2 linked regions of the Canis lupus familiaris genome follow. Each later gene encodes a partner of the first gene's protein in a complex. Links are inferred from orthologs where the notes say so. Each region holds a gene or a part of one and is shown on either strand. Other genes may lie near its edges. The genes, in order: DNM1L and mitochondrial dynamics protein MID49-like.

The links.
Region 2: the proteins of DNM1L (region 1) and mitochondrial dynamics protein MID49-like are in contact, whole or in part, in a cryo-EM structure (PDB 5WP9), measured with the Homo sapiens proteins. The link is inferred for Canis lupus familiaris from reciprocal best matches to the Homo sapiens genes DNM1L and MIEF2. Residues at the interface, in NP_036192.2 of Homo sapiens: Asp190, Met191, Ala192, Thr193, Ser194, Leu197, Lys198, Ile199, Arg201, Glu202, Gly223, Thr224, Asp225, Asp228, Arg233, Val234; in NP_631901.2 of Homo sapiens: Val213, Asp214, Thr215, Val216, Arg218, Arg226, Leu230, Arg235, Val245, Gly246, Tyr248.

Annotation. Positions count from the first base shown.
Region 1 is NC_049248.1:30,390,251-30,403,186, forward strand, and holds part of DNM1L (dynamin-1-like protein), read left to right. Parts: intron 1-2,411; coding exon 2,412-2,498; intron 2,499-4,496; coding exon 4,497-4,659; intron 4,660-5,684; coding exon 5,685-5,805; intron 5,806-7,493; coding exon 7,494-7,625; intron 7,626-8,598; coding exon 8,599-8,805; intron 8,806-11,659; coding exon 11,660-11,780; intron 11,781-11,998; coding exon 11,999-12,154; intron 12,155-12,400; coding exon 12,401-12,490; intron 12,491-12,936. UniProt on the Homo sapiens protein: Functions in mitochondrial and peroxisomal division.
Region 2 is NC_049226.1:41,504,588-41,516,273, reverse strand, and holds mitochondrial dynamics protein MID49-like, read left to right. Parts: upstream 1-2,005; 5' UTR 2,006-2,126; coding exon 2,127-2,193; intron 2,194-2,207; exon of another isoform or gene 2,208-2,387; intron 2,388-2,393; exon of another isoform or gene 2,394-2,982; intron 2,983-4,441; coding exon 4,442-4,596; intron 4,597-4,787; coding exon 4,788-4,968; intron 4,969-5,478; coding exon 5,479-6,533; 3' UTR 6,534-6,573; exon of another isoform or gene 6,574-6,989; 3' UTR 6,990-9,006; downstream 9,007-11,686. Other genes in the region: FLII (protein flightless-1 homolog), read right to left, coding at 518-580. UniProt on the Homo sapiens protein: Mitochondrial outer membrane protein involved in the regulation of mitochondrial organization.

The sequences.
Region 1 (12,936 bases):
ATGTGGGACTCCATCCGAGGACCCGGGGATCAGCCCTGGGCCGAAGGCAGATGCTCAACCGCTGAGCCACCCCGGCATCCCTCTTTTTTTTTTTTTTTTTTTAAACTATTTATTTATTTAACCATGAGAGACATAGAGAGAGATCGGCAGAGGCACAGGCAGAGGGAGAAGCAGGCTCCATTCAGGGAGCCTGATGTGGTGGGACTCGATCCCAGGTCTCCAGGATCATGCCCTGGGCTGAAGGCGGTGCTAAACCACTGAGCCACCCGGGCTGGCCCAAGAACTTTCTTTCTTACCTAATAATAAGGATAGAGGCTTTTTTTCAGTGAAAATGAAAACCAGTGTTAGCAGCTTAATTATTTTCCTGTTTTCTAACATTGTGAGAATTTAAAGTAAATTTGGTGTCTAACATGCCATTAACCTGACACAGGCACTGTCACTGCTTCCTATAAATGCTTCTGTTTTCTCTTTTTTTATTCTTGCTACCATTCTCTGTTCCCTCCCCCCCCCTTTTTTAAAAATCTCCATTCTTGTATTATCCAGAGGCTCTTTATTTTTTATTTTTTTAATGATTTAATTTATTCATGAGAGACGGGGGTGCTGGAGGGGCGGACACTGACACAGGCAGAGGGAGAAGCAGGCTCCATTCCATGCAGGGAGCCTGATGGACTGAATGGTTTCCAGGACCATACCCTGGGCTGAAGGCAGCACTAAACCACTGAGCCACTGGGGCTGCCCTCCAGAGGCCCTTTAATCCCACAAGTGGGCCATAACCCAGAATATTCAAGTATTCATTGAGCCCTTTAATCTGCCAGATGCTGTGCTAGAGAGGTTGTCCTGACAGGCGTTTTTGGAGCCGTATCAATTCTTTATGCCTAGTAAGGAGATTATCTCTCTGACTGACTAAGCTTTGTTCGTTATTGAACTGGTAACTGAGTTGCTGCTGCTGCTACCATACTTTCCTGAATTTCTAACAATTGTGTTGTAAAAAGAAGAGGTAGAAAAAGTGGCAAGAAACTAGATTAGCTTCTCCTTGGTCCTGTAACTGTTTTCAGGGATAATTTTGACTTTGGGGGTATTATTAATCATAATACCAATCTGAATTCTCCTGCATCCCTATGGATTTACTGAATTTAGGAATTGGTGGTAATTTCACATAGGGCTAGAATTGAGTGGATGTGACTAGTGTTTCAGAAAGTTTTAGTTACATTAAACTGAATGTCATGAAAGATAGTCTGTATACCAACAAGATGTTTAATTTATGGTGGGGATGTGATATACTTACCTAGCAGGTTTTCTTACCCACAGTGTCCAAAGGATGAGAAGTCCCCTACCCCCAAATCTGTGAAAAGTCTCTTCTTTCCTAAGTCATATTTGTAATGAAGTAAATACTTTGATCTTATGTAAGTAATTTTATATGTACAAATATCTAAATGATTTCATATGCCTAACATAAGACCCTGAAGGATTTAAAATATCTGTGAGATTGGAATTATAGAAGCAGTTGAGCAAAGCTTTGTATTAAACATGATAAGGGAATGCCTAAGAAGCACACAACCTAGGTAGGTATGCTGAATATCAGCATATGACTTTGAACACTGGTGTATTTGAGGTAGAAAAGTAGTTTGGAGTAACCCAATATATCTCAAAGTAAAGGATGTTCCAAAAAAGCTTTCTGGGAAGTTAGAATTTTCAATGGATTAATGAAAGAAGATAGAAAGTAGGTAAGAGAAAAGGACATTTAAGGGCATGTGCAAAGACAAGTTATGCATATTTTCTGTGTGCCCTTTAACTTGTAGCTGGCTCAGCTTCAAAATTTTTAGAGGGCTAGTGGTGAAGAGAAGGCAGTCTGTATAATAAATAATCTCAGTCCAGGGGAGAGAAAATAGAGGTTATCTCTCATTATCCGGATTCTTACTACTTGAATTCAGGGATCTGAAGATTTAGGTAAATTTTCTGAAGAATCTCTTAAAATACACACTCTTGCTACTTGATAGTCAAAGATTAGGAACCAAGTTGAAATGGATAACTTGTTTGCCCATGCCTCACTGTCTACTCAACCTCATAAATTTGGATAGTGATACAGTTTTCTTTAGTTCAGCACTAAGTCTATTAAACATATTTAAGAAGTTGTATCTGTTCAGAATCAAGAGACAAGAATGTAAAATAATGCAGGGGAAATAAATTTTTGTATATCGATGTTACAGAATTGGATAAGATTATCACCTGCTATATTGGCTGGCTGCCTTACTTGATGTGTTTCCTCAGGTTTTGATTGTTTAAGTGTTCATAGTTTAATTCATACTTAAAAGCATCTAATGTCTATCTGCTTGAAGTGAGGTATACTTTAGCAATTTATATTTCACTGAAATTTTAATGTGATTTTAATATATTTTAAAACTTATTTTTAGGGAGTAAGCCCTGAGCCAATTCATCTTAAGATTTTTTCACCCAATGTTGTCAATCTGACACTTGTGGATTTGCCAGGAATGACCAAGGTAAAGATTAGTTGTTACTCATTGTGGATTTGGTCATATTTGTTTTCAATTGTGGTCGTTTTTGCTTGACCTTATGAGAATAATCAGCTTCCCCCCCCCCCCCCCCAGTTGATCTATTAGCAGCATTGAATATAGTCCAGCCCTCCCTTCTCATTGAAATATTTTCTTTACTTGGTTTCCAGGATACCATACTCTGCAGGTTTCTCTCCAGTCTTACTGGCCACTCCTTCTCTGTCTCTTTTGCTGGTTTCTTATCTTCCCAGTGTTTCCACAGTGAGTGCCCAGAGCTATTTTTAGACCTCTTGTCAGTTGGGTACGCTACCCTCCCCGCCACACCATTGATTTCATCCAAACTATGGCTTTAAATATATGAATGTCTGTATGCTGACAGCATTTAAACATCTCCAGACTTGTATATCCCAACTCTCTATTTGGCACGTACACTGAAGTGTCTAATAGGCAAACTTTATGTGTCTCATGCTAAATTTCTTACCTATTCCCTCAATCTTACTTAATACTTCTGTAGTCTCCACCACCTCAATAAATGGCAACTTTCTTCTTTCTTAGGCCAAAAAGTTTGTAGTCATCCTTGACATGACACGTTTTATTCCACACCCTACTTTCTCAGAAGATCCTTTTGGTTTTCTTTTCTTTTTTTTCTTAATATTTTTATTTATTTTTTCATGATAGACATAGAGAGAGAGGCAGAGACATAGGCAAAGGGAGAAGCAGGCTCCGTGCAGGGAGCCCGATGTGGGACTCGATCCCCGGACTCCAGGATCACACCCTGGGCGAAAGGAAGGCGCTGAACCACTGAGCCACCCAGGGATCCCCTCCTTTTGGTTTTCCTTACATTTAAAATCTATCCAGAACTCCATTTTATCTTACAAATTTGTAGCTACCGTCCTGATCTAGCCACTATCCTATCAGCTGGATTACTACAATAGCCCTCCTAATAGGTCTTCCTCATAATTTTATTCTTAAGCAGCCAGAATGATGCTATTAAGGTGGAAATTAGATTATGTCATTCCTTGGCTCAAAATCTCCAGTGGGTTTTCTTTTTTTTTTTTTTTTTTAATTTTTATTTATTTATGATAGTCACAGAGAGAGAGAGAGAGAGGCAGAGACACAGGCAGAGGGAGAAGCAGGCTCCATGCACCGGGAGCCTGACGTGGGATTCGATCCTGGGTCTCCAGGATCGCGCCCTGGGCCAAAGGCAGGCGCTAAACCACTGCGCCACCCAGGGATCCCTCCAGTGGGTTTTCATTTCATTCACAATAAAAGCTTAAGTTCTTAAAAGTGATTTAAAATATCCCTGTTATTCTAACTCTTTCTGTTCGAGTTTTCTGCCCTTACTATTCATTGTGCTGGAATATTCTTCCCTCAGATATCTGCATGTACTTCTCCCTTATCTCCTTTAGTTTCTGCTCATTCTCTTAAATGTCATTATCTGAGTGACTTTTTCCCTCATTTCTCTTTTTAAAAGCATAATCCTAAAGTAATTATTTAAAAGTATAACCTTATCTGATCACTCCCTAGCTCCTTGTTCTGCTAATGTTTTCCATAGCTCTGCCACCACCTAGATACTATATATATGTATTTGCTTATTAGCTACTTCTCATCACTAAAATATAAACTTAATGAAGACAGGAATCTTGGTCTTTTTTTTTTTTTTTTTTTTAAATCACTACTGTGACATCTGATGTATAACAGTGCCTGAATTATAGTAGGTTGCCAATAAATACTTGCTAATTGAATGAACGAATGGATTTGCTTCTGGGCATTGACCAATCCTTTACACGTAAACTTTTGATATTTGCAAGAAATATGTTTTGAGACTTTAATACTACCAAATTCATATATAATGCTAGTACTATATACGTTCTTCATTTTAACTATCTGTGAATGGAGTAATACCTATATTCTGTAGATTAAATTGGCGGGGGGGAAGCTGAGTTGATTTTTATTATTAGTTCCTTGCTCATCTGTTCGGTTCAGGTGCCTGTAGGTGATCAACCTAAGGATATCGAGCTTCAGATCAGAGAGCTCATTCTTCGGTTCATCAGTAATCCAAATTCCATCATCCTTGCTGTCACTGCTGCTAATACAGATATGGCAACATCAGAGGCACTTAAGATTTCAAGAGAGGTAGATCCAGATGGTAAGGACAGATATTAATATTTAATGAGATCCTTGATTAACAGTGGTAAATCTACCCTCAAGAAAGGAGTATTAATTTTTAAAAGTAATTTCTCTAGCTATAAATAAAGATTTAAAAAATAATGCGTTCCTATTTTGCTTATAATTACAAATAGAAATTCTGATGGAAATTAAACTTTAATGGGTTAGTTGCTATATAGACAAGGCAAAAGCACTTGACATAATATCCATATTTGTAATGGTTGCCTAATGATTTTAAAATTATAAGATGGTTTTGTAAAGAGGACTTGTTTTGTATAAATAAAATGATTTAGATTTTTAAATGGTTGACTTCTAATTTTTTTTTTTTTTTTTTTTTTTTTTTTTTTTTTTATTTATGATAGTCACAGAGAGAGAGAGAGAGGCAGAGACACAGACAGAGGGAGAAGCAGGCTCCATGCACTGGGAGCCTGATGTGGGATTCGATCCCGGGTCTCCAGGATTGTGCCCTGGGCCAAAGGCAGGCGCCAAACCGCTGCGCCACCCAGGGATCCCAAATGGTTGACTTCTAAGAATTATTAACTCTCATAATCATTGTGATGATTGTGTTACCTACATTCTGCAGAGGTAGAAAACATTTAGACAGGGCAGAGGAAATTCTTAGAAATAAAGGTAAAATCCTTTTAAGAAGCATTTATAACTTTAAGGATTATGTTTGTAAGTCCTATTTTAGTTCATACTGTGGGTCAGTGTATGATATTTGACTAATGCTGTGGTGTGCATTTCTTTATATAAAATGGCAGCTTGCAGGGATTAGTTATTATTGCTGCTAATAAATGTAGCTTTGCTTCATACAGGAGCACCCAGGTACCCCTATAATTAGTTTTTAAAAAGTATTTGTAAGCAAAGGTCAGAAAAGCATTACTAAAATGACAGAGATAATGTTAAGGAGGGATTAATAGATGAGGATTTTTCCTTATTAATACCTAATAGCTTTATTTAATGGATCATTTTCTTCTTTTGTTTTTTGTTTTTTGCATTTACCAGGTCGCAGAACCTTAGCTGTAATCACTAAACTTGACCTCATGGATGCGGGTACTGATGCCATGGATGTATTGATGGGAAGGGTTATACCAGTCAAACTTGGAATAATTGGAGTAGTTAACAGGTTAGCAATCAAGAATGGGATAAGAATTGCAGCATTCCCATTTCAAAGGAAATCTGAATTTTATTTTTATTTTTTTAAAAGAGTTTATTTATTTATTTGACACAGAGAAAGAGCACAAGCAGGGGGAGTGGCAGGCAGAGGAAGAGAGAGAAGCAGGCTTTCCATTGAACAGGGACCCTGGGATCATGACCTGAACCGAAGGCAGATGCTTAACCGACTGAGTCACCCAGGCGCCCGCAAATCTGAATTTTAAAAAGCAGTTTAAAATGTGATATTATCCCTCTTTTTCCCTTTTATATAATCTTGGTATTGCTAGGAATTTATTACTCTGAAGAGAGGAGAGAGATTCACGAAAGCCTCCTATGGGTATTTGTAATGGAAAGTGTTTTTAAAGTAAGCAGTCCATAAAATGGAAGAAAATTTAATAGCCAGGCTTGAAAAATTTCTGCCTATTATGTTATATATGAGGAGTGCACTGGAAGAGAAAAAAAAAAGTATTATTTAGTTTGTACACATTCGAGACAGAGTCTGTAATAAGGTGGTAGGATTTTAATAAACTGGTTTAACACCTCTCGTATTAGTGATCCTTTTTAATTACCAGAATGACTTGGAGAAATTTTATTAAAGGTATCCTAATCATAAATAGCTGGTATTAAAAATTATAGAAAAGAAACTCCTGTTGAGTGTCTAATTATATTTTAGATCCTCTTCTGTTAGCAGTTTCCAAATGGTAGCTCTTTGAATCCTTATAACATCTTTGTGAGGGTAGGGGATGATGTTTATTTTATAATCAGAAGACTCAAGCTATACATCCACCAAACGCACATGTGAAAGATTTCAAATGAAGATCTTTAGTCCAAAGCCTTTATAAAGTAGGAAGCATTGAAATGAACATGAGATCTGGGTTCTACTCCTGCTTTGTCCATAAACTAGATATGTAATGTGGATTTAAATTTTTTAAAGATTTATTTATTTGTTTGAAAGAGGAAGAGGGAGACTGAGATCATGAGTCTGAGCCAAAGTCAGACAGACACTTAACCAACTGAGCTACCCAGATACCCCTTTAATGTGGATTTAAATGCCAGCTAACATCTTTAAATCTCAGGCCTTTTAAAATGAAACTGTTTTTACTAAAGTGATACCCAGGGTCCATTACAATTAAGTTGTCTGCTTTGTATGTCCTATCTTATCCATAGTTTGGCTTTTTTTTTTTTTTTAATCTGCCCCCTCCCATTTCATGGCGTAAGACTTGCATCTATAAATGACTGCTCTTGAAGTTAATTATTTTTGATAGAAATTAGATACCTGTATATGGATAAAATATACTACTGGTTATCATATTTATACTTTTTTTTCACTTGTCTACCCTGTTACTTCAGACTGCTGCTTTTGGCAGTAGTTAATGGTAACAGTGAGGCCTAAACTATTCAGGTATTACTTACAAGTCACAGGTTGAATCTCGGTGGAAGTATTTAACATGTGATCTTGTGTAGGTTAATGTCCCTGGGCATCAATTCCTGTGCTGTAAAATGGGATAATACCTACTGCAAGAATTACTGCAAAAATTAGATAACACAATCCATATCAGGCATTACAAGCAATGTCTGGTGCTACTACCATCATCATCTAAGGTATGTAGAGGACCACAATTGACTTTAGTTAAACAGTTTGTTATTTTTCAACCTTAGGAGCCAACTAGACATTAACAATAAGAAGAGTGTAACTGATTCAATCCGTGATGAATATGCTTTCCTTCAAAAGAAATACCCATCTCTGGCTAACAGAAATGGAACAAAGTATCTTGCTAGGACTTTAAACAGGTAACGTTTTTACTCTTGGAAAATATGGTCTTTTGGTTTGGCAATAGGTGTCTGTGAGCTCTCATTTTTAGTTCCTTTTCATAACATTTTTGTGTGTACAGTTTCATGTTTTGTTTCTTGTACAGTAGGTTCTTGTAATGTAGATAGATGTCTTTCTGTTCAGGTGACTGGCATTAAATTATGTAGTCTAGGAGTGCTCAAGGGAATTTTAAAATGTCTTAATTATGAAGTTCTTGACAGTCTACTCTTTTGATAATAGAACTAAATAGCAGATGACTAATTTCCCCTTGGGGTTTCAGGAACTAAATTAAAATGCCTATTTTTTACATAACCAATTGTTATTTTCGGATGTCTTCTGTTCTTATCCATAAAAAGAATTTAAAGTATATACCTTGAATCCTTAATACCCACTGATGGTAGAGGGACTGGAAAAGCTTTCTAGATGATTTGTAAATGACTGAAATGAAAGTTGTTTTCTCTTACTTTTGTCGTATTCCTTAAATAAAGGCTCATGGACTTGGATCTTAATAAGTTGGGGTTGAAGGCAAATTTAAAAAGTGTTGACTAAGTTCTTTGTTCGTGTTCAACCCATCAAATTGTAGCGATTGCTAGAGAGCCAGATATAAATTGAAAAAATTATTTTTATATTAATTACAATTACCTCATAGAAAGTAAGCTACTCAGTATAATTCTATCTACATAATTTTGATTTCTGACTTCTGTTTTACTGTGGATACTCAGCACAGTGAAAATGATTACTTAGTCTGAAAAATGTAAAAAGTGTGGGCTCAAGTATCATCGTGTCTTTTTTTCACACTAAGCATTTACTTCCAGCCTAATATTGCTTTATTTCCTGCCAGGACAAATTATTTGACAGCTTTTACCATTATTGGCACATTAAAAATTTGACCTGTTTGGGTCTTCAGAATACACAGCTTTACTGTAAGAATCCTTTCTTTCTGACCTTTGTTAGGTTACTGATGCATCACATCAGAGATTGCTTACCAGAGCTGAAAACCAGGATAAATGTTCTAGCTGCCCAGTATCAGTCTCTCCTCAATAGCTATGGTGAGCCGGTCGACGATAAAAGTGCTACTCTGCTCCAGCTTATCACCAAATTCGCCACAGAATATTGTAACACTATTGAAGGAACTGCAAAATATATTGAAACTTCAGAGCTGTAAGTAAAACATTTCTCTATGGGTTTGCTTATCTGAAATGCTGGGTTACTTTTGCTTTTGTAACAGTGACTTTAACTCTGAGATTTTCTGATCATGATTTGTTATTTGCAGAATAGTGTTTTGCAGAAATAATAGGATGCTGTCTGACATATGTGTTAAAATGCTTTGTAAACTAGGTAAAGCACAGTAAATTTGTTTTTTTTTTTAGACAAGACTTTGATAAGCATTTAAATATAATTGATAATTTAACTTTTTTTTTTTTTTTTGATAATTTAACTTTTTAAATATTTGTCTCTTTAATAGACACACTGATTTTTCATGGGGAAAAAAAAAGAAAATGCAGACAAAAAGAACAGAAGGACAAAATGACTTAATTCCACTATCCAGAAATAATCCCTGCTAATTTTGGCACGAACTTAGACGTTTTTCAATGCAATGATAAAATATTATAAATGCCTGTATTACACATCTTCAAAAATCAGATCAAAACACTATCATGCTGTTTTGGAATCATTCCTTTAAATCATTGTGTCACAAACAACTAATATTAATTGTACATTTCTATTACCAGTCTTAAAATTTACATAGTATTTTGCTTTTTAGATACACCCTAATGTCTTGAACCAGTACCCTACTACTGATAGTTTCATTTAAATATAAACAGTGTTTTGATCGACTATTTTGGGGGCATGAATCTGAGTAAACCCTTAGGCTAAATTCTTAGGATGGAATTACTATATCAAAGGGAGAACATCCTAAAAATCCCTTCCTGTTGCCATACTGTTAGTGGATTATATTGTTTTACTGTTAGCAATATGTAAGAATGTTCATTTATCTGAACTCTCACTTAAAAAAAAATTTTTAATTTTGAAATAATTATAGACTTTCAGGAAGTTGCGAATAAATATGCCTTCCTAGGTCCTGTTAATCTTTCACCCCATCTTCCCTAGTGTTGACATCTTGCATAACTGTAGTACAGAAACAAAATGAGAAAATGGACCAAGGGTACAGCCCACAGAGCTTATTCAGATTTTACCACTTGTGAAATTATACACACATTGGTATGTGTATTCTGTGTACTTTTGTGTGACACAGGTGGCCTGTTATGTGAGTTAATTCTGTAAAGACAGTATTTAACTAATTACTAATTAATTGGTGAATGGTTAGTCATATTATAATATATATAATATTAATATATAATATTATATATATTATATATATAAACATATGGCATATTGAGGGGAAATACAGATTACTAAGATGAGCCTTTGAAGCACTTAGTGGGTAAGGTAGAATAAGATAACACAAGGCATGATTCAGTGGCAAACAGGTGTATAATCAAGTATTTTTATTTAAATACTTATTTAATATACTGCATATCTGGAAAAGTGCTTATATATGGGGAATTTTTTTTATATGGGGAATTTTATAAGTAGTTAATAAAGCAGATATCTGTGTAATCATTTAAGCCTTAAAACATTGAGGAGAGATCATTTACATTTCTCTGAGAGACTGGGTAAGTGCCATAGTTAAGAATGTGTTCAGGTTGGGCTCTGAATAGGATATAGGGAAGCAATAAGTAGAAGAGTGTTTTAGGCTTTGGGACAGCAAAGAATAATGCAAAAGGTGTATTTGGGGAATGGCATGTACGGTGGCAGGACATAGCAGGCAGTTAGGCAGCAAAGGCATCTGAGAACAAGATTGTGGAAAGTCAGGTATCTTCAGAATTTAGAGAACTTCCTGCCATAGAAAATAAAACACTTTCAGTCAGAGGAGTACCCATTTTAGAAGGATAATTTTAATTATTATGGAAAATTATTTGGAGAAAGGATCGGTTGGAGGCAAATGGATAATTTAACCATTTTTAAGTGTGGTTTAATAGCATTTGGTTACAGTCACAATATTGTCTAAGCATCAGATGGTGTCTATTTCTAAAATTTTCATCACCCCAACAGAAACTCTGTATTTCTTTGTTCCCTCCTCCTCCAGTCTCTGGTAACCTCTAATTTACTTTCTGTCTCTATGAATTTGCTAATTCTAGATATTTTATATGAGGGGAATCATATAATCTTTGTCTTTTGTGTCTGGCTTATTTCACTTAACATAATGTAGGTTGGTACCTTCTGCTTAGACAACGGTAAGAAAGTAGTGGATAGTAGAGATTTAATTTGTTTAAGGCAGAAGAAAACTGTAGCCCATCGGCCAAGAAGGATTTTTACATTTTTAAATGGTTGAAAAATATTCAAAGAATATTTCATGACATGTTAAGATCCAAATTTTAGTGTGCATAAGTTTTACTGGAACACAGCTACGCTTATTTGTTTGTATTTTTGTCTATAGCTGCTTTTGTGCTCAGTAGTTGAATGGAGTTGTCGTGGCAGGGACCATATGGCCTGAAAAGCCTAAACTATTTACTATCTGGCCCTTTACAGGAAAAGTTTGCCTATCTTTTCTCTAAATTGTGAATAAACAGAAATAAACAAGATATCATTTCTTGTCTTTTAAAAAGCTCATAGTCAAGGAAACTAAGGGCAGAGAAAAGATGTTTAATAGTTCTTAGTTACCTAATGTTTTTGGACAGACCATTATTCTGTATGTGTGTCTGTGTGCATGCAAACAAATACATACATGTGATGGATGCCTTTTGTGGAATGACTCTTCTTCATTAAAAGAAAAAAATTACAGAAACTGGTTCATAATGGAGTTGAGAACACATGGAAATGATCTAAAAGTAATTGCTTATCTGAGACTTTATCAGACAATAAGACCTTAAAAGCTTATAGAAAGGCTTCTGACTTGTAGCTTCTTTCCCTTTTAATAATAATAGAAACCATATACTTCATTGCCTTTCAGATGCGGTGGTGCTAGGATATGTTATATTTTCCATGAGACTTTTGGGCGAACTTTAGAATCTGTTGACCCACTAGGTGGCCTTAACACCATTGACATTTTGACTGCCATTAGAAATGCTACTGTGAGTATGCTCAACTTTTAGAAATTTTTTAAAAAGTTAAGGATTTATTATAATTTTTAACCCATTAGCTATATCTTTAAAGGAATTGTATTTTTGCCCTCATACTTAATATCAGGAAGCACTTTTCATGAAAAATACCAAAAAACATGATTTATTTTAACTTAGGGAAGAATTAAAATTTAATATAGCTATAATAAGAGCTCAAAAAATTTTTTTAGGGTCCTCGTCCTGCTTTGTTTGTGCCTGAAGTTTCATTTGAGCTATTGGTCAAGCGGCAAATCAAACGTCTGGAAGAACCCAGCCTGCGTTGTGTGGAACTGGTTCATGAGGAAATGCAAAGGATTATTCAGCACTGTAGTAATTATAGTACACAGGTAACTGAGAAATGTAACGTGTCAGATTAAGTAGTAAAAGACGGGAAGTGGTGGTTTTGTGGATTGGGAGGAAGTATGTAAGATGGGCTAAAAATAAGTTAAAAATCTGCATTTTTCTGTATCTGAAAGTGATTTGAAGTGTAATGCTATATGTTGCTTAAAATCTAATTCAGTATTTTGGTGATTATTTAATTTTCCTTTAAACAAAGTAGACCGTTAAATTTTTCTTTCTTCTATCATTTATAGGAATTGTTGCGGTTTCCTAAACTTCATGATGCCATAGTTGAAGTAGTGACTTGTCTTCTTCGTAAGCGGTTACCTGTTACAAATGAAATGGTGAGCTGCTATTTTCACAAATCATCATGGTAACCACTAAAGAAATTTTTTTGTATAGCAATAGGAGTACTTTAGAGTTTAAGCCATGTTTTCCAGTGTATTGGGAAGAAAAAGAAGTAAACTTCACTCTTATTTCAAAGGACACAAGTAATTCTGGCATGAAGTATAGTTTTCTTCATATTTTAATCACTGTTAGCCTACAGCTCTAGGTTTTCATAAGAATGGAGTTAAGTGTTGACGATTGTGATTAGCTTTGCTATACTATATAGCACCACTGATCTAATGGAAAATTAGTTTAATAATCAGGCCCGGTAAACTGAGCTTTTATATGGCAAACTATTTTAGCTCTAGTACATCAGGGTAATTTGGCCACTTGTAGTTTGCTTGTTTGATGATGCAACACTGTAATATCATGGTTGCTTGCTGCTCTTTTCTGGGTTACTGCT
Region 2 (11,686 bases), on another chromosome or scaffold:
ACCACACAGGATGGGGTGGCGGCGGCAGGCTCGGGCCGCGATGAGTGTGCTCCAGACCCGCCCCCGACCGACAGCCGGTAGCAAGGCCGGCCCTGAGTCAGGGCCTGGCTGGGCGTGTGACCTCAGAGGGGCGGGGACGGAGGGCGCGGAGGGCGGGAGCAGCTCGCAGACCCCCAGGCCAGTCTGCGGCGCGGGCGGGGCCCGGACCCCCGGACCCCCGGACCGGGGCGCGCGGGGCCCCCAGCCCACACTCCCCGCGCCGCTGCGCGCCCGGCCCCCCCGGCCCCCGCCCGGCCCCCCCGGCCCCCCCGGCCCGGGTCTTCCCGAGCCGCAGCGGACGCGTCGGGGGGCCGTTCCGGGCGGGGCCGCGAGCTCCGGGGCAGCCCCCCTTCCCTCCCGCGGTCCCGGGCGGCGCGGGGCCGGGCGCGGGCGGGACAGGAAGCGGGGAGCGGCGCGGGCCCGGGCGGAAGACACGGCCTGGAGGGAAGCCGGCCCCGCGCCCTGACGGCCCGCTCACCTTGAAGTCGTTGCCGCTCAGGTCCACGCCGCGCACGAACGGCAGCACCCCGGTGGCCTCCATGGCGCCGCTCTCGCTGCCGGGCCTGCGGGCGCGGGGGGCGGCGGGGCGAGCCGCGGGCTGGGCCGACGCCGGCCCCGCCCCTTTAACCCGCCCCCGCCCGGCCCGGCGGCAGGCGGAGCCCCGGCCGCGGCCCCGCGCGTCACCCGGGGAACCCGGAGCGCCGGGCCTCCCCGGGCCTCCCCGGGCCTCGGCTTCCCCCGCCGTCCGCTGACCCCGGGCCCTCGGAAAAAGTCCGGGCTCCCCCTGCGCTCCCGCAGGCTTCTAACCTCCACGCTGATTTCAGCGACCTATGGCGGGGGGTGCCGCAGACCCTGCAGGCCCGGGCTCCGCCCCCGGGGCAGCCGCAGCCGCTGGAGTCCGGCCGTGACCTCTGCAGCGATTAGGGACCCAGGCCCGGGGGCGCACGGACCTAGGCCTTGGGTCCTAGGGCTCTGGGCTAACCCCAGGTCTGCTCCTGCCTCAGCTTTCTCATTTGTGAAATGCTTCCTAAGGCTGTCGCCAGAAACAAACTCAGGTGTAGGTCGCAGCATACAGCAGGCGCTCGATAAGAGGCACGTTATCATTCAGGCTCTCTTTACTTCCTTGCGCCCCCACCAGCCGGCACATAATAGGTCCCCAAGAAATAAACGCCGAGTGAGCCACAGGTTCTATGCACGGTCACCCTTCGCGGGGGGAGGGGCCTTGTGATACCCACTTCAGGGGAGAGAAGACTGAGGCCAGAACGGAGCAGTGGCCCGCACAGGGTTACACGGCGCAGGTGGCAGGGCCAGCCTCCTGGGTCACGCTGTGTGCCCCGCGCGCCAACATAAAATAATAAAGCCACACTGCGCTCTCAGAGGTGACCTCAAGGGTCAGGCAAGCGGGCCTTCGGGCCAGGTACCACCTGTTTGCCGGGCCCCGGAAACAACGCGAGCCCAGACAGTTCTGTCTACTCCGCAGCCTCCCATGCGAGCACACGCGGCTTCCCACCAGGCCCTCGGGTCCGGCTCATCCCGACCCGGGTCCCGGTCGCCACCCCGCCCTGCGCCTTTAAGCCCGAGTGCGTCCGGGAGGCCCGCCCCCGAGGGGCCGCGCTCGTCAGCGGGGGGCGTGGCCTGCTCCTCACTGGCTGAGCCGCGCAGTATTTTGGAACGTGGGCGGGGCCTCGGGCGCTCCGATTGGACCCGGGGCTTGTTCGTCTGCTTGCGTCGGAGGTCAGGGCCGCCCCCGGGGCCTCGGGGTTCGGTTCCCGGGTCCTCCGAGTTCCATTCCCAGGCGGGCCCGGGCTCAGGACCCAGGGTCGCACCCGCTGTGTCCTGCGGTCGCTGCGCCGAAGCCGCGACGCCCGTGCGACCGGAGTGCGGCTGAGCGGCCCGGGTCCCCCAGACCGGGGCGTGGAGCGTGCGTCGGACGCAGGTCGGGGGCGTGGTCTCCGCTGGGGCCCGGGTCACGGCCGGGGAAGGGGGGAAGGGCTTTGCGCCCCGGGCCGGAGTTCCAGTGTCGAGCCTGCCCCTTTACGTGTTGGGCGCCTCAGTGCACTTCTCGGGGCCTGGTGCCCTCCGCGCGGATGGGCCCCTCCCAGGCCCTCCCCGGGGTTCCTGCGCGCTCGGCCCAGCCCCGGCCCCGGGCAGCAGGTGTGGCGGAGGAGGGGAAGGGCGGGCGGCGTCTCCCGGCGTCTCCCGGCGCCTGGTGGGGGCCGGGCCGGCAGCGCGGAGTCGGGTTATTTTTAACCACCCGCGCCTTCTCGGCGTTCCGGGAGTTGGAAGGCTGCGGTTTGCGGCCTGCGCGACCCCGCCAGGGGTTGGGCTGAGTCCCGTTCAGGCAGGAGGTATTGAAAGCTTTTTACACTTTGCAAGTGGATTCTGGGCTCCGCTGGAGATGGCTTGCAGTATTGATCATCGAGGAGGAAGTAACTAAAAGCGGCCGCCGGGCCTTGGTGGGGCACTCCCCTAGCCTTTGACCAGCCCAGGCCCCAGAGCCCTCCTGTCCTATTTTTACTCTGGGCAAATCGGGGGGCGGGGGTTGGGGCTGACTCCGGTGGTGATTCAGGCTTCAGCTGCTCTAGGCATCTCGTCACCTGGCAACTGAGCCCTGGGCACCCACAGCGGATCCGAGAGGACAGAAGTCCTTGGTGCCTGGGCTGGCTGCGAACCCACGGTCATCTGGTTCAGGCATCCGCAGAGAGACAGCGCTGCCTGGTGTCTGACTGGTCCTCCGGGCCTCAGCTTGCACCCCGGCCACACGCCCCCTCTGCTCTCAGGGCCTGAGGCAGGAAATCCCCCGGAAGAACCAGAGGTTGGAGTTTGGGGGCCTAGGCCTGGGTGGGATCTCTGTCTCCACTTCCCAAGTACCCAGGCCTACCCAGCCTTATAGTTCTGGGTTCCCCACGTGTAAACCTTCACCACGCCTGTGCCATTTTACAGGTGAACAAAGCCTCATCTTCCCTTCTCTGTTGCCTCGGTTTCCAGTCTTTGACAGCTGCTCCCCCATCCCCGCTACCCCTGCATTGTCTCAAACTTGAGAGGCCCAGAGAGGCCCCTGTCCAGAGGCACTGGGCAAGTTCTCTGTTTGGGATGGGGGGTGGGGTCTTTATTTTTCACCTACTTTTTTTTTTTTTAATTTTATTTATTTATTCATGAGAGACACGACACACAGAGAGAGACAGAGACACAGGCAGAGGGAGAAGCAGGCTCCACGCAGGGAGCCCGACGTGGGACTCGATCCCGGGTCTCCAGGATCACGCCCTGGACTGAAGGCGGTGCTAAACCACTGAGCCGCCCAGGGATCCCTACCTACTTATTTTAAATATTTTATTTTTAAGTAATCTACACCGAACATAGGGCTGGGACTCACATCCCCCGAGATCAAGACTCAGACGCTCCACAGATGGAGCCAGCCAGATGTCCTGTTTGGGGTCTTTGGAGTTACCCTGCTTGCTGCCCCCACAGGCAGGCCTCAGCCTTCATTGATGTGCCTCCCTGGGCAGCCTGGGCCAGCTCACTCGTCCTGTCCTTTGACTTGATAGCTCTCCCTCCAGGGGCTACTCTATTGAGATCTGGTGGCGGGGGGACCTCTGTTGAGGTCAAAGGCCTGAGGGGCCCTGCAGGGCAGACTGCTAGGACCCCTGGCGGTGTCTTCTTTAGGCCAGAGTTCCCTCCTGCCTATGCCCAGCCCCGGTTAAGAAGCAGGACGAAGCAGCCTCTTGGAGCTGGCTGCAGGCTCCAGTAGACTGACTGGACTCTGGGGGTGGGCCAGAGTCAGGACACTTTGCAGGATGGGTCCAGGTCCCCACCACTCACTGTGTGGTTCGGCAGCCTATATCTCTCTAAAATGGGGATAGCGATGATGAGACTCACTTCACCATCTTAGGTCATGTCAGGGGTCCTTGAGGATGGGATGGAGAAGATGGGCCTCCTTTTCTCACCTGGCACAAGTCTCAGGGCCTTTCTTTTTTTTTTTAAAATTTTTTTTTAAATGTTAATTTATTTATGATAGTCACAGAGAGAGAAAGAGACACAGGCAGAGGGAGAAGCAGGCTCCATGCACCGGAAGCCCGATGTGGGATTCGATCCCGGGTCTCCAGGATCGCGCCCCGGGCCAAAGGCAGGCGCCAAACCGCTGCGCCACCCAGGGATCCCTCTCAGGGCCTTTCTACATGAGCTCCTTGTCTAGGGAGTGGGTGGGCTATTTGCAGGTTTGCAGTGTGGTAGAGGTGGGGGTTTGGGCAGCCCCATCTCCTCCCAAGAAACCGTTTCTCCTGAGAAACTCCCAGGAACTCCCTTCATCAGCTCTACTCACGACAGCCCCAGCATGATGGGGTCGGCCCCACTGCCAGCCTGGCCGCCCCCCCACAGAGCTGTCTATGTCTACATCCTCTTACAGGCAGACAGACCATGGCCGAGTTCTCCCAGAAACGGGGGAAGCAGCGTGATGAGGTCCTGGGCAGCACCGTGGACTTCCTCCTGGCCAATGCCCGCCTGGTGCTGGGCGTGGGCGGAGCCGCCGTGCTGGGAATTGCTACCCTGGCTGTGAAGCGGGTAAGGCCAGGCTGAGCCGCTCAGAGCTAGGGCTGCCCGAGGAGGACAGTGGGGCCCCAGGGGGAGGGGGTGGGGAAGTGCCCAAAGCTGGCACCTGCTTCTCTACCCCAGCAACCTGGCTGGCGTTGCCCCTGGCCTTGGCCTGGCCACACAGGCTTCGGATGCTCTGATCCATGTCACTCTGCCGGCAGCTCATTGACAGGGCCACCAGCCCTCGAGATGAGGATGACGCCAAGGGGGACACTACACGTCTGGAGGAGAGCTGGAAGGAACTGAACCTGCTCACGGCCACACCGCGTCAACAGCCCCGGCCCCCACCTGCAGCCCTCAGCCAGCCCGTGTCACCCCCTGACCCCTCGCCGGCTGCCCCAGGTGAGTGGCACCCCATCCCCTCCGACCCGGTTGGGCCCTCCTCTGGTATTACATTTGGGAGATGCAACCCAGGCTCTGCCTTTGACTGAGCCTGGGACCTAGGCAAGTCCCTGCTGCTCCTCGGGGGCCGCAGCCTCCCTGCATGTTTAAGGGTTTCTCTGCCCTCCTAACCTCCTGGGTTGTGCCCCCAGGACCTGGACTGAGAGAGCGGTACCAGAGCATGGCAGCAGTGTTGTGACGGTGAGGGGCCCCAGATGGGGAAACTGAAGCCCAGAGCCTGTCTTCTCAGCCTACACCAAGCTGTTTTAGGGCGTTGGGGATCTGGGGGCAGTGAGAATTTGTCATCACGTGCTCACCTTACGTGAGAACTTGAGCTAAGCACTCTCCCAGGTGGTCATTTTACAGCTGAACAAAATAAGGCCCAGGCTGTCACACAGCTAGTAATTGGGTGGAGGTCTCTTGGCTCCTGACGGGGCCTCCTGATGTGGTCCCAACCCCTTTGTTCTGCAGAGGGGCCCACAGACACGGGTCCTGAGATGTCACTGCAGCTTAGCTCTCCGGCGCCGCTGTGCCTGACGTTCCAGGAGAAGCTGCTGGCGTTTGAGCAGACCCACGTGACCATCCCCGCGGCCCACGTGGCCCTGGCCAAGCAGCTGGCCGGTGACATTGGCCTTGAGCTGCAGGCCTATCTGCGGAACAAGTTCCCGGAGCTGCCCTTTGGGGCACTGGTGCCCGGCGGGCCGCTCTACGACGGGCTGCAGGCGGGGGCGGCTGAGCGCGTGCATATCCTGGTCCCCCTGGTGCTGGAGGCGGGCCTGTGGAGCCTGGTGCCAGGGGCGGACACGGTGGCCAGGGACCCTCGCTGCTGGGCCGTGCGCAGGACTCAGCTGGAGTTCCGGCCCCGCGGGAGCAGCCCCTGGGACCGCTTCCTGGTGGGCGGCTACCTGTCTTCCCGCGTCCTGCTGGAGCTGCTCCGCAAAGCGCTGGCCTCCTGCGTCAACTGGCCTGCCATCGGCAGCCTGCTCGGGTGCCTGATCCGGCCCAGCGTGGCCGCTGAGGAGCTGCTGCTTGAGGTGCAGCACGAGCGCCTCGAGCTCACAGTCGCCGTGCTGCTGGTGGTCGCCGGCGCTGGTCCCGAAGATCCCGTCCTCCTGGCGTGGCCCCTGGAGGGGTTGGCTGGGAACCTCTGGCTGCAGGACTTATACCCCGCGGAGGCTGCCAGGCTGCGGGTCCTGGATGAGCGCGACGCTGGGACGCGCCGGCGGCTGCTGCGGCTGCTGTGCGGGGTCTGCCGCCGCCACCCATCCCTGTGGCGGCTGGACCGGCGCCACCTGACCCAGGTGGTTCTGCGCCTGGGGGAGCACGAGGCCGACTGGGCCGAGGCGGCCTTGGGGGCGCGCTTCCTGCAGGCCCTGGAGGCGCTCGTCGACAGCCTGGAGCGGGCCAGCCTGCCCTGCCAGCTCAACCCCGGCGTGAACCTCTTCGGGAGCCTGCGGGACGAGGAGATTGACGCCCTGGGCTTCGCGCTGTTCTGCGGCCTGCAGGCCCCCGAGTGGCTGCTCTAGCCGGGTGGGGACGGGGCGGCCGGCGCTCGTTCGGCGGCGGGTGAGCTGGGCGCGCCTCCCATCCGGGAATCTGGAGAGCACCCTGTCTCTTGCTTTAGCCAAAATAAAAAGAGGGGGCTGCCCTGTAAGCCCCCGGGTTAGCATGTACGCGGGCAGCAGTCGCGGGAGGCCCCGGGCCCAGAGAGCTCGGCTGGGCCACCTCGGGGGCAGCCTGGAGCGCCGGCCACTCCCCCGGCCCCATCTGGCCTTGGGGCGACCCTGGGACCGTGGGCTCGGTCCGTCGTCACCAGCAGTGAACGCACGGACGATCCGGCTTCTGCTCTCCTAGGCGGGGGATAAAGGCAGCTCCGTTTATCTGTCAAGAGGGTGAGTTAGCGTTTTCCTCGGGTGCCAGCTCCAGGCATCTCGAGGCTTCTGGTGCTGGGTGGTAAACACTGTGTTTGTGTCGTCCCCCAGGGGCCAGAGTCACCTGGGACCCCCCTGCGCCCCGGATTGCAGCTTTGGGGCTGATCTGAAGGCTGTGTCTCCCAAGTCATGTCACCTGCGTGTCCAGCCAGCTTGTTGAGCTCTCCCCTCTAGCCTGGAGCAGAGCTCCGTCGGACGTGCTGCCCACCTCGTACCTCAGGGGAAGGCCCCATTCTCTCCAACAGGGCAGATTTTCTGTTTGGGAGGCAGAGAGACCCCTGGAGAACCTAAGGCTCCCAGTGCCCCCCGCTTTGCCTGGAGCCAAGGATGTGCCACCGGCTACTGCTGGGCCCGGCCTCCACCGAGCCACCACGAGCGCTCCCCGCCGACACTGAGGCCCACTCGGGGATGGGATTCCGCCTCCCCTCCCGGGCATCCCTCCCATCTTTGGTGTTCTTCGTGCTGAAGCAAAGCTGTGCCACTAGGAATGTGAATAAAAGGAAAAACGAGGGTGTGTGATTTGTGCTGGGCTCTTATGCATGGCTCTTTGGAGTTCTGGAAGCTTGGCCACAGGTCTTGTGGGATCGACCAGGAAGAGTTAGGGCTTAATTGGAAAAATAGATCGTGTGGAGAGATAATATTACCAGTTTCCGGGTGTGATGCTTCACTTTAGTGATGGAAACCAGCTAGTCAGGGACTTTTTTCCCTGAAAAATCTAAGCTCTCACGGCCCAGCTGGCTCTCTGGTGGGCATGGCTGCCCCAAGCCCATCAGCCGGCACGTCAGTACCCAGAGAAATGTCATGTTTGTATCTCCTGGCCTCTTGTTGTGGCTCAAGTGGTGGACGGCCCTCCCCAGACAGGGAAGCAGGAGCATCTCAGCGTCTCCACGGGAGCCATGGCTGGGGCTCATATCCTTTGTCACCACAGATGACAAGTGGGCCCTGGGGACGGCTTTGGGCCACGAGTGCTCAGCGGTCACCACAGTTGCTTTTCCCATCCTGCTTCTCTCCTTCCCATCCCGTCGTGTTTCCTGAGGTAACCTGTGCCCTGAGCTGTGACCACAGGACCACGAGCAGCACCAATGTCCTCCCTCGTCTGAGGGCCAGCACGCAGGACACATGAGAAGCACATGTGTACTTCTGGATGCAGGACCAGGAGCTGCCCCTGGAGGTCATGAGGGCTCTGCCCCAGGGGCATTCAGATGCCTGGACGGCTCCACACACAGGCTGTGGGGAGGGTCAAAGGGCAGGAGACTGGCTGAGCCGAGGTCCATTCAGATCACTTGGCCTGGGGACTGGCGCACAGAGAGCCTTGAGCAGCTGCCCTGGTGGCCGAGTGTTGGCACCGGCCTGGGCAGACAGAGGCGGGGCCTTGGTACTTTTGGCAGTAAATTGGGGGATTATGGAATACCAACTTCTCGGCGGTTGTACGAAGTAACTGCTGGTGTGCAGTGTTAGCCCAGGGCCTGGCACGAAGCAAACCACTCTAGAACCCAACTGTGGGCCCCAGCTATCTCCCCCCGCTGACCAGCGTCACAAAGCTCTCTCTTCTACACCAACTGTAGAATAAATCTTATCATATAGAAAATGTTTCCTTTCTATAAACCCACTCGCTGGGCCCGTCTCTGCAGCACTTACCTGTGGCATAGTCCCAAGTGGGGGTACTGCTCATTCCCTAGGGCTGGCCTGTCCAGTTCTTCCAATCTTTGCTATTACAGCAATCCCCCCTGATCTGTGGTTTCGGTTCTGCGTGGTCACTGTAGACCAGAAGCATGTGATCCTCCCAATGTATCGTGTCCACAGCAGCCTCATGGTGGGTCACAACGCCCACGTCATTCACCTGACCTCATCCCGCAGCCATTGTACCGCCTCACAGCCCCACAAGAAGGGGGGGGGGGTACAGGACAATACGGTGGTTTGAGAGGAAGAGACCACATTCACGTTAGTTTTATTACAATATATTGTTATAATTCTATTATTATTTATTGTGAATTTCTTACTGTACCTAATTTCTAAACTTTCTCCTATGTATGTAGGTACAGCAAAAGACAGTAAAACAGTGTATATAGCGTTTGGTACTATCTGTCGTTTTTGGCATCCACTGGGGGTCTTGGGACATATCCCCCCAAAGATAACCAGAGGGACAACTGTATTTAAACTGACAGGCCCTGAAGAAAGTCTCTGTGCACATAAGCCATAGCATAGGACATTCCTGGGAGTGGAAACCATTCAGTATTCAGACCCAGAAAGATCCTGCCAAACTGCATTCTGGAAGGACTTTGGTCACCAGCCCAGAGCCCCAGGCTGAGCCTGGCAGGCGGGCAGGAAGGGGTGAGCAGGTGCCCCTGGGAGGCGGGACCCGGGGAGCACGTCCACATCCACCCTGGCCCCACTGCCCCAGGGCTGCGGACTCCTGACCTCCTCTCCGCAGACTTTATGGCTGGGGGTGGATGATGGAAATTGCCCACTCCGAGCTGTGCCTGCCGTCTGTGGCTCGCCACACATACCTGGAGTGCACTGCGGGAAAACTCACTTTGGTGTCAGCTGAGCCACCTGGTTGCTTCAGGGGCCAGAATCTGCCTTCAAAAGCAAGTGGCTCTGGTGTCTGAGGTGTGCAAGGAAAGCACTTCCTGGGTGTTGGGAGCAAAGGCCCTTCCCCTTCAGATGGCGATTTAGCCTGCCGTTCATGTGGGTCGCAGGCCCCAGAAGGTGCTGGGCCTGGGGCAGGGGCGGGGGTTGCAACGGACCCCCCGGCAGCCTGTAGTCCCAGGCCTCTGCTCCAACTCTGTCCTGTTCCCCCTAGAATGAGGGCCTTTGCAAAAGGACACTTCTGTAATTAGAAAAATAAAGATATTAAAAAAGAAACCCCAGCAACATTACAATTTGGTTGTGCTCAATTCACTGAAGCTAAGGCTGCAGTGGACAAAGCCCAGAGTGTATTCCAAACAACGGGAATGGCTCCGGGGATGCTGTTTTGGTCCTTTCCGCATGGCTCCCGATTTCCTGAGACAATAGTTCATTTGGCCGGGCCTTCAGGCTGGTGGGAAGGCCAGACTCTCAGGCTTGTTGGACTCTGACCTCTTAGCCTGGAGCACCACTTCTGAGCAAGTCAGGCAGTCTCAGGCAGGGATGGGGCGCAGGCCTTGGTCCCTTGGAGGAACAGCCAAGGGTGAAGGGTGGCACCACCTGGCGTGCTAGGTGCACCTGTGCCACCCTTGTGTTCTAGTCCAGGGAACTTGGACATTATGATCCTGGAGTCTGAACAGCTGACGTTTTAGGTTGCGGCAGGCCATGGAAGGAAGGACGGCTGTGAGTTTATCACAAAGGGCAGCAGGGTTCTCCTCCCATTGGCCCAAGAGCCAGTGCCCGATGTGGTGTCGTGCTGCCGCGCACACGGGGCCTGGCCCTCGTTGAGTGGTGGGGGTGGGAGGCTGGGATTGGGGCTTATTTGTAGTTTCCAGCTGCTCCAGGTGCAGTAAGCATCAGGGACAGCTTCTCTCCAACGCTGTGTGGGGCGGCCCCCCTCTTGTAGTCTTTCAGACTGGGGCAGGCAGGGGTGCGGGGCATCCCTCCCATCTTCTTGGAGGGATGGCAGGTGGCTCCGTCCCTGCCAGTGGGCTCTCACCTCAGCGTGGAGAAAGATGTGGATGCTCTCAGAGCTTCAAGGTGTAGGCACAGTGGCAGACCAATCCCTGCTTGGCTGTTTATGGGGCAAAGCGCTTCTCCATGAGGCTCGAGCTCCACCCACAGACGGAGGCAGGGAGGCAGATGAGAAATGTGGTGTGTGACCCGCTTGGCCTCGCGCTCAGTAAGCTGGGGTTGTTCTCACTTGGGTCCTGGATGGCACAAGCTGCAGATGGGGGTCCAGTACTGGGGTTCACACCTTTCTAGTCACAGGTGGGGAAAGCTCAACTTCTCCTCGCCTGAACGCTGCTAGGCTGAGGCCATCAAGAGACCTGGAAAAACCCGACAGGTTCTGCTCATGAACTTCCCACTGCAGTCAGGCCTCGCTGTAACCTTCCACCAAGGAGCTTCCAGGTGAGGAACACCGCCCAGTTACAAAAGGGGCCACTCAGGCTCAGGGTTAAGGTGCGAGCCCAGGGAGGCATGCAGGCGGGGTGAGTCAGGACCTGGGGCAGGTCTGACCTTGGTAGTCCACCCCAGCGGTTTTTGGTCTTGCACATGTAGGAGTTACTTGTGGAAAGATTAAAATACACAAATCTGCCTGAAATTCAGAATCTATTAATAACTCCTATAATTCAATAACAAAACCCAAATGAAAATTGGGCAAAAGACTTGAACAGGCATTTCTCCAAAGATACACAAGTGGCCAATAACCATGTGAAAAGATGCTTAGTGTCCATGGTCATTAGGAACATGCAAATCAAAACCACAATGAGGTAACACTTCACACTCATCAGGACGGCCAGAACAAAAGTTAAGGAAAATATGCATTGGCGATGAAGTGGAGAACCCTTGTGCTTTGTTGACGGGGGTGGGGGTGAGGTGGGGGGGTGGATCATAAAACCGGGCAGCTGCTGGGAAAAACTGATCACACACAATTACTGCGTGAGCCAGCTATGTTCCAGGTACGTACCCCAAAAAAGTGAAAATTCTTTGGGTGTTCAGATCTTGTACATGAGTTTCTGGTGACACCATTCCCAATAGCCAAGATGTGGGAACAACTCAAATGCCCATCAACTTCTGACCAGATGGACATCATGTGGTTCATCCACATGGGATATCAG